Coturnix japonica: one gene and its partner. The protein of the gene in region 2 interacts with the protein of the main gene of each other region in a biochemical or structural test. Links are inferred from orthologs where the notes say so. Each region holds a gene or a part of one and is shown on either strand. Other genes may lie near its edges. The genes, in order: MARK3 and KSR1.

The links.
Region 1: of the proteins of KSR1 (region 2) and MARK3, one has a biochemical effect on the other in vitro, tested with the Homo sapiens proteins (2 studies listed by BioGRID). The link is inferred for Coturnix japonica from reciprocal best matches to the Homo sapiens genes KSR1 and MARK3.

What each region holds. Positions count from the first base shown.
Region 1 is NC_029520.1:45,752,852-45,756,461, reverse strand, and holds the end of MARK3 (MAP/microtubule affinity-regulating kinase 3), read right to left. Parts: intron 1,837-3,610; coding exon 1,491-1,836; 3' UTR 740-1,490; downstream 1-739. UniProt on the Homo sapiens protein: Serine/threonine-protein kinase. Involved in the specific phosphorylation of microtubule-associated proteins for MAP2 and MAP4. Phosphorylates the microtubule-associated protein MAPT/TAU. Phosphorylates CDC25C on 'Ser-216'.
Region 2 is NC_029534.1:7,872,560-7,876,964, forward strand, and holds the start of KSR1 (kinase suppressor of Ras 1), read left to right. Parts: upstream 1-1,543; 5' UTR 1,544-2,393; coding exon 2,394-2,621; intron 2,622-4,405.

The DNA of each region.
Region 1 (3,610 bases), on a different chromosome or scaffold from region 2:
GAAGTACATGCTGAAGTGCTCCACTGAAATATAACCATCAAACATTCACACAAAAAGTCAAGTAGATAACGCAGCGTTTTATCTACAGAAGTCCTCTGTGAAATGAACTGAGTATTCAGCAGGAAACAACGCTTGTAGGAAGCTCCTGGTTCCGCTCTGCCAGCCCAAATCCAGCTCAGCACAGCAGTGCTTTAAGAAGCAGGGACCATCCGACAGCAGCTCGGTGTCCTACAGAAACTAGCAGCCATCAGTGTCCGTCAGGGCAGGTTCCACACATAAGAGAACAGCGGACTCCTTCCTCAGCAGGATCTAGAGACACAGCCGGCATGAAGCCAGCAGCAAGGTGCCCAGAGCCAAGCGGGAGCATGCTGCAAGAGAGCTGCAAGGAAAGGTTTAGCTGCCACTGCCCATGGCTGTAGTTAAGCAAGCTGGATGTTACAACAGGGGACATCAGCAGCCAAATCTGACTCCCACTTTTGGGTTTCAGAAAACAAAGGAAAGCACTGCTGTGCCCGCAGCAATACTTTGGAGCAGCACAGGCTCATGTATGGTGATGTGCATCAGAACGTGGCTGCTGTTTGAGAGTCCTGTTGTGCTGTGATCAGGCTGGCCTAGTGCAAGGGGGAGAACTCTAAGAAGCCACAGGTCAGCACTCAGCACACAGCACTGCTCTGCAGGGGGACTGTGGAGCAACAGAAAAGTACTCAGAGCTGCAATCAAAACTCGTAAGCCAGAGGGATAAAGATACAGTTTTAGTAGCTCAGCAGAAGAATGGAAGCATTTACTCAAATTTTAATGCACAAATCAACTACATTATTAAAATCTGATTCGGACTTAAATAATAAATAGGTGGGCAAAACATAATGCAAGACTTACTGGGTAAAAGTGAATTTTTAATAATTTCATGAGCTCTACTTAGAAAACAGGACTAATAATGTTCACAACCGTAAATCCAAACCCTTCACACCCTTTTGTTCCTTAACACAGCAGTGAATTGTAAACCTGCGTTTACTGGTTATCTCTTCAGTTATTTTAAATATTGAACTCAAGTGTTTCCTCCTTGGCCATTTCAATTTTTAGCACCAAAATTAGCCCAAAAAGAGGTACTGGTACAGCTCCATGTGGTAAATGAATTGTTTACATATAATACTTTATATATTATACACACATACTGTACATTCACACGTCCACACAAACAGGAGGCATATTTAAATGAATATATTCTGTGTTTCAATTTGTTGTCAAAGACTTAGGAGCAATGGAAATAAAGCAGAAGGGGTAATATTTTACATAGTAGGCAACTTTAATGCTGTAGTGCACTTATAAAAAAGTCCAACTCTCCCTCCCAGCTCAGCAGCTTTGTTTTCTTTAATATCACTATTCAGAAGGATGCAGAAGTTATTGCCTAAATGTTATTCTATACATTTCCATCGGAATTCTCAAAACACTTGAAATTGCTAACTAATTTACAACTTAACTATTGTTTCTTGTTACAGCTTTAACTCATTGGCAATTTTGGAAGCAATGTTTTTAAAAGCTATGGATGTTCCCGATATCCGCTTAAAGCGAACTCCGTTCAGGGACAGTCTTGGCAGGTCACACACCTCCATTTCCCACTGCACGAGGTTTTCCGCGTGCCCATCTCCATGGACACAGAAAAGCAAGAAACGCTCTCTTTGTTCATAGTCACAATTATTGGCATCCAGGACCTTCCGGATCTCCCTCATCATGTCATTGGGATCCATGGAGCTGGTGGTTTTCATGCTCCATGTGAAACGCAGTGAGCGAGGCTTGGCTTCCTTGTTCTCATCCTTCTGATCCACGGCTACATTGCGGCTGGAAGAGAGCAATTCATCAGTCAGAAGGGTGAGATACTTCCATGGGACAGGTGTTAGCAAAGCAAACTCACGGGCAACACACACTACAAGAGCAATGTCTATGGGCCCTGGCAGCACCCCATCTCCCTCACTGCCGTACAGACACACAGTAAAGATAAAGCGTCAGCGTTCGGGGCTGAAACAAAGGTGAGGCTTGATGGGAGAAACAACTGGAGGTCACTGGAGTTGGGAGCGTGAGGGAAGTCACCTCACTGAGGAAAAACCACACACATCAGCTAGGATTCAGTTTTAAGTGTTGCTCCAAGCCCTACTCTTGGGCCACCTGCCACCCAGTTCTGGGCTGGACAGGTTTCACTCTATGAGACGTGCACAAAAGAACCACTGTATTGTAGGATACTGGGGATACCTTCAACAGGGAGGAAATATTCTGACTTTAAGCTGGTCAGTAATTTGGTTAATACCAATCAAGTAATGTGGTGAAGTCCTTTGCAGCTAGAATCTATTCATGTCCTGGAGACCAAAATGCAGGAAGGAGAGCTGGAAGTACTGACATGGTTAGTAAAGCAACCAGGGCAAGAGGGTTCCTATTACTGCCACAGTTCTAAAAGACAGCAAAAAATATGCCTTAGTACTTTCCATTTCCCAAATCTGCAAGGTTTTCTTTTTGTTTCTTTAAAGCTTTTCACTTGGTAAGGAGAAATAAGGTTATACAGGACAGTAAAAAACGATCCAGAAATTTCTAGTTCATAATGATGCCTCTACTTCCATAAAATCAGCAGTCACAGAGCTAAAGCATAAGGAGCTACATTTAAACCTTTAAGAAAAAAATGGGGCAGGTTTTCTTTTGGAAAGACTGCGTGCTGTCAGTCCTATCTTCAAACTTGTCCCCAGGGCAAGAGACTTTAATATACTGGCCACGATGCTTTAATATTTTCTGAAAACACATAACCTTGCTAACCCTAAACCACACAGTTTAGGTCTCGCGTTGAACTTCAAAGTTCAGTTTACAATTAAATTAAGCTCTTCTCTGAGATATTTGGCAGTGAATTTCTGCTTACACAACGCTTTCTTCCTTCTCCCACCATTAAGCAGGCAATTATGAAAAAGTTACATAAAAAGCAATGGCAAGGTCACAAAAAACCTATTGCAAAGATAACCTGTCTCGTAATTTTATATTCTATTATAATGACTCCCAGTAACTGCAAGAATAAAAGGATTATGCTGTCAAATCCAGCTGCATGATTTCTCAGATGCTACATACTCTTTGATTGCTGATGTATGTTGTAACTGTAAGGTTTTAATTTAATGAAGCTGCAGGAGCTGGCAAAAAGGATAGGGGGAGTAACATCAACTTTTATTCAGTGCCGACTTTAGAAAGCCTTTTCTACTTGAAAATGGTTGGCAGAATGAACACAAAGCCGATGGTTTCTAGTACTTTTAACACAAGGATTTGAGGAAGAGTTTAATATGGAAAACATTTGTGATTTTGGAGACAAAAGCACAACTTAACATCCTTCAGTGGTTATCCCACACATGTGCAGTCTCACTGGACACCACTTACCTACAGATCTACGAGACAACAGCAAATCATAAATACTAAGATGCAAAAAAACACACGAGGGAGAAGGCAACAGGAAAGATGGAAGTTTAGAAACAAGCCAGTCAGTGCTTTAGTAGCTGATCTGCAGACAGAAACGCTTCTTTGTTTAGTTTCACAGCCTTAAACAAAACAAAAGCTGCTGCCTGAAGCCACTGTGCCACATAATCAAGGG
Region 2 (4,405 bases):
CTCAGTATCACATCTGCTCAGCACTCCTGCTGTATGATACAGGCTGCAGCTTGGAGCACACCCCAGTTTGTGGTCCTCTGCTAAGGCAGATCTGGGGTTCACCTCAGCATAAGACAGTGGTTCCCCTGGATTAGTGTGAGCATCTCAGTGTTGCTGTGGGAGTCAAAGCAGCTAGCCTGGAAGAAAGCAACTCGCTTGTGTAACCCTCTTTCACAGAAGAGCACTCAGATATTCTCCATTTCTGCAAAGGTGACAGCCTCACCAACATGCAAGTGCTCAGCAGTGCTGAGCAGGGGCAGGAATTCATGGTAAGGAGTGTTAAGTCAGCATATTTTTCCATGCGGGCCTGGAGGGCAGTCTTGTACACTGGGACTGGAATGCTGCCCACTTACGGTAGCTGGTTAAGGAGCCCAGCACTCACAACACAGTACAGAAACATTCAGAAAGAATGCCAAATATCTTGTCATGCATAGCCCATAATTTTCCTGGTTTGTTTTCTTATGCAATAAACCTGGTTTGTTGTCTACTAGTAAATGGATGTTCTCAGGCAGGTATACAAAGAATGTTTATGATAATAATACTCCTGTTAATAACATTGCTAAATCCAGACACTTGTAATTCAAGACTTCAGTCTGTCACACTTCTATAAACTACAATTTTCAGTGCTAAACTTTCAGTGCTCCCAAGAGGAGGGGTGTAAAGACTTTTTCATTAAGTTGGAATGATGGAGGTAATAAAGCAAGTGACTTTTCCAAAACCACAGGATGTATCACATGGCAAACTAATTAAACCATAATCCAGCAAAGCCCTTTTTGTGTATGAAACCTGCAGCATGTGAAGAATAATGAAATCAAATACTCGGCCTTCTTAATACCTTCTTAAGAAAATTACTAAGCAGTGTACGTCACACTGCTTGATGCAAATACAGCCAAAGTAACATATACACTAGTATCCATCTAATCATGAGAAAACCAGCTGTGTCAGCTGATTTGCCCTGCTCCACTGCCTCATGTCCTATATCCACAGATCCTCCCCCCCTTTTTTTTATTTTGCATAAAACTCTGCTGTTGCCACACATAGCTCAGATATCATTCTGGCTTTTTAAACCTGCTGTCAATCTGATCCGTTGGAGGAAGTTATCTCCTGTCAGCAGAGCACAACTACATTGTCCTTCTGCATCTGTCATGTCAGATGAACAGCCCTCATTGTGCAGGCAGCTGGGTGGTCAGCTCTGTAGGGTTATGTCCCACGCTACTGCGATGCTCCGGGTGAGCCCAACAGATAGAACTTGCAGCCAATGCACCTGCTGTGCAGCTACCTGTGCCTGTGCCACTTTTCTAGAATTTCCACTGTGAAATATGAGCCCACAGTTGTTTCACAAGGCCATAATGAAGTTTTCTCCTATTTATGATATGAATAAACCCATATCACACTCAAGTGCTTGTAAGTTGTTTTTAATAACTCCCACCTCATGTGCCTTTGCTATGCAAACACTTATGCCAAAGAACACATGTATCTGATGGATTTATAGAACATCTGGGAAACCCTATTTTAGGAAAACACTCGATGGCCTTGGCAAGGGACTTGCTTATGGCCAGCACATGGTTTGTATCCATGTAACAGCAAAGAACCATGACAGCATCACTGAACTCTGCAACTCCTCACCCCACAGTGCAGAGCCCCAGTGACTCCAACTTTGCCATGGCCACGGCCGACACACCTGGAATCACCCAAGGGGCTTTTGTGGGATGATGCTGAGAGCATATAATATTGTTTGTATGCTATTTCTAAGCTCCGTTTTGGTTCTTTTGGCATTTGGTATCTGCAGACGCGAGGACTTGGCCGGACCCGATCCTCAGCAGGACAGTGCACCCATCAGCCCCAGCTCACACATCCCACAGGGCAGACTGGGCCAGGTCCGGTGTCACCCCTCTCCCTGTCTCTCAGTGTGCCGATGGTGAGGCTCATCCGGGGTGAGGTCCAAGTCCTGACGTACCTGCGGAGACCTGAGGGATTGTAAGGTGCGCTGAAAGCAGCAAGAAGCTGATGCGGGAGCTGCTGAGGCCGACACAGGGACGCTGAGGTGGGCTCAGGGATGGGCTCAGGGATGCTGAGGTGGGCGCTGAGGCGGGCATTGCTGAGGCGGGATCTGCTGAGGCGCTGAGGCGGAGCGACCGCCCGCGCCCCCTCGCGGAGTGGCCGCCATCTGCGCGGGGCGACCGCACCCGCGGTGCCGGCTCGTCGTGCCGCATGCTAATGCGCGGTAACTGCCCGGAGAGGAGAGGCGAGGCGGGGCGGAGCGAGCCGCCGCCTGCCCTCTCTCCCTCCCTCTTTCCCTGCCCGCCGCTCCCCCCGCCGTCGCCTCTCCTCCCCGGCCTCCCTGATGCCGAGGAATGGATAGAGCGGCTGCCCTGCGAGCCGCCGGCATGCTGGAGAGGAAGGAGCGGGGCGGCGAGGCGGCGGGGCCGGCCGTGCGGGGCTTGCCGGCCGTGCGGAGCACGCTGCAGCAGTGCGGGCTGCTCCAGGACCTCATCGACATCTCGCTGTCCAACCTGCGCGGGCTCCGCACTAAGTGCGCCGCGTCCAACGACCTCACCCAGCAGGAGATCCGCACCCTGGAGGTACGGGGCCGGGGGAGCCCCGCCGCCGGGATGCGCCGGTCCTGGGGCCGGGCCCTGCCTCCAGCGCCGGGCGCCGCGCTCCTTCACCGGTGCCCGGGCTGTGGGGAGGTGGTGGGAACCCCCTTCGTCTCTCCGCGGGCGCAGAGGGGTGCTGGGGGACGCGGAAGGGAAGCAGGAAGGGGGGTCGGCCACTTTCCCACGCAGGCTGCAGGGCCTCGCCGTCCTGCCGCGGTCCCCTCGGGCCGCTGGCATCGCGGCATCCCGCCGGCAGAGCGCGGTGCCGGTGCCCGTGGCGGGGGAAGGCTCGCCGGGGCCAGACAGGTGCGGGAGTCGCGGGCAGGCCGCGATGTGCCCCCGCCCCTCCGCGCTGCTGCTGCCCGGCTGCCGGCCTGACGCGGAATGGGCGCCTGGGGGGGGGAGGGGGCAGGTGCGGGGTGAGGCGGGGACCCGAGGTGCTTCCCGACCGCCTGGCAGAGATGAGACGCTGCATCCCTGGTCCCAGGATGCTGGATGCGCAGATGATTCCCGCCGGTCTCATGTTTGTTTCTGGTGGCTCCTGCTCTGTCCTTCCAGGCCTGTCTCTCTATCCCTGGCTCGGTTTCACTGAGCTAATCCGATCCTTCTTTCCACTCTGTTGGTGTGGCTGGCGGCAGCATTGCAGTTCAGGTTGGAGAGATGCTCTGCCGTTAAGAGAGGTTATACAGAATCCTTCAGGCAGAGAACGTGTGCTTCTGTGATGCTTTCCGACACGATCTGACTGTATGCATGAGTGTTTAGAAAGGAAATTCAGACTTGTTCCGTTTGTTTGACCTTATATACTGAAGTGCTTCCCTTTGCCTTGTGTGCAGGTAATGCCGCTCCAAGCAGAACACACAGTTTCCACCCAGACCCCTGCTTGGTCAGAAGCAGAGGCCAGTGCTCCTTTTCTCTAGTCCATTACTGGAGGCTGCAGAGCTGGAGCATCAGGCTCAAAGAAGGAAAATCCTTGTGAATCTATAACAAACATATATACTAGAAAATCCCTCACTTAAATGAAGCTAGGAAAAACAATAGGTGCCAACTCTCTGTATGGCCTCTCTTTGAAATCTATTGTTCTTTTTTCTCTCTTCCTCAGCCCTCCCTGCCCCCCCCCCCCCCCCCCCAAAAAAAAAAGAAAAAAAGTTGGTAGTTCTTTTTTTTTCCTGCCACCTCCAAATAGCCTTCAAAGGCTATTCTTTATAACACAGTACTTCTGTAGACTTCTGGCCACCTTGTTGTCATTTCAGTGCTCAAACAATGTAAATCACCATCAGTTTGGAAAACGATCATCAGTACTTTGCTGGTGGACTCATTCTGCAAGAAAACCTTTAATCATAGAGCCTAAAGGCCTGCTATCATCTTCAATTTGTTCTGATAGCAACAAAAAATGTTGCTAGTGATAACTATTGAGTATGTGTCTGCATTCCTTAAGCGATTATCTGCTTAAACCAATGGGTGCCACTTTTGCTGGTGATCATAAAATTTGTCCCTCATCAGAAAAATCTCTGATATACTCCCCAGTACGTGATTTCTCTGGGAATTCAACCAAGTGCTGAATCCCTGCCAGCCCATGAAGCTACGGGAATGGGCACGGACACTGCCCTTTGCTCTCTTCAGTTGCCTGTGCCTGAAGACATGATGTCATCAGGGGCTGAGTCTCCCACTTACTGACTCTGCACAGTCTGAAGAAGGTTTGTCTGCTGCTGCTGAGCGCAAAACTGGGCTGTAAGAGTTGAGGGTCTGTGTTCGTTCTCATAAGTTGTGAT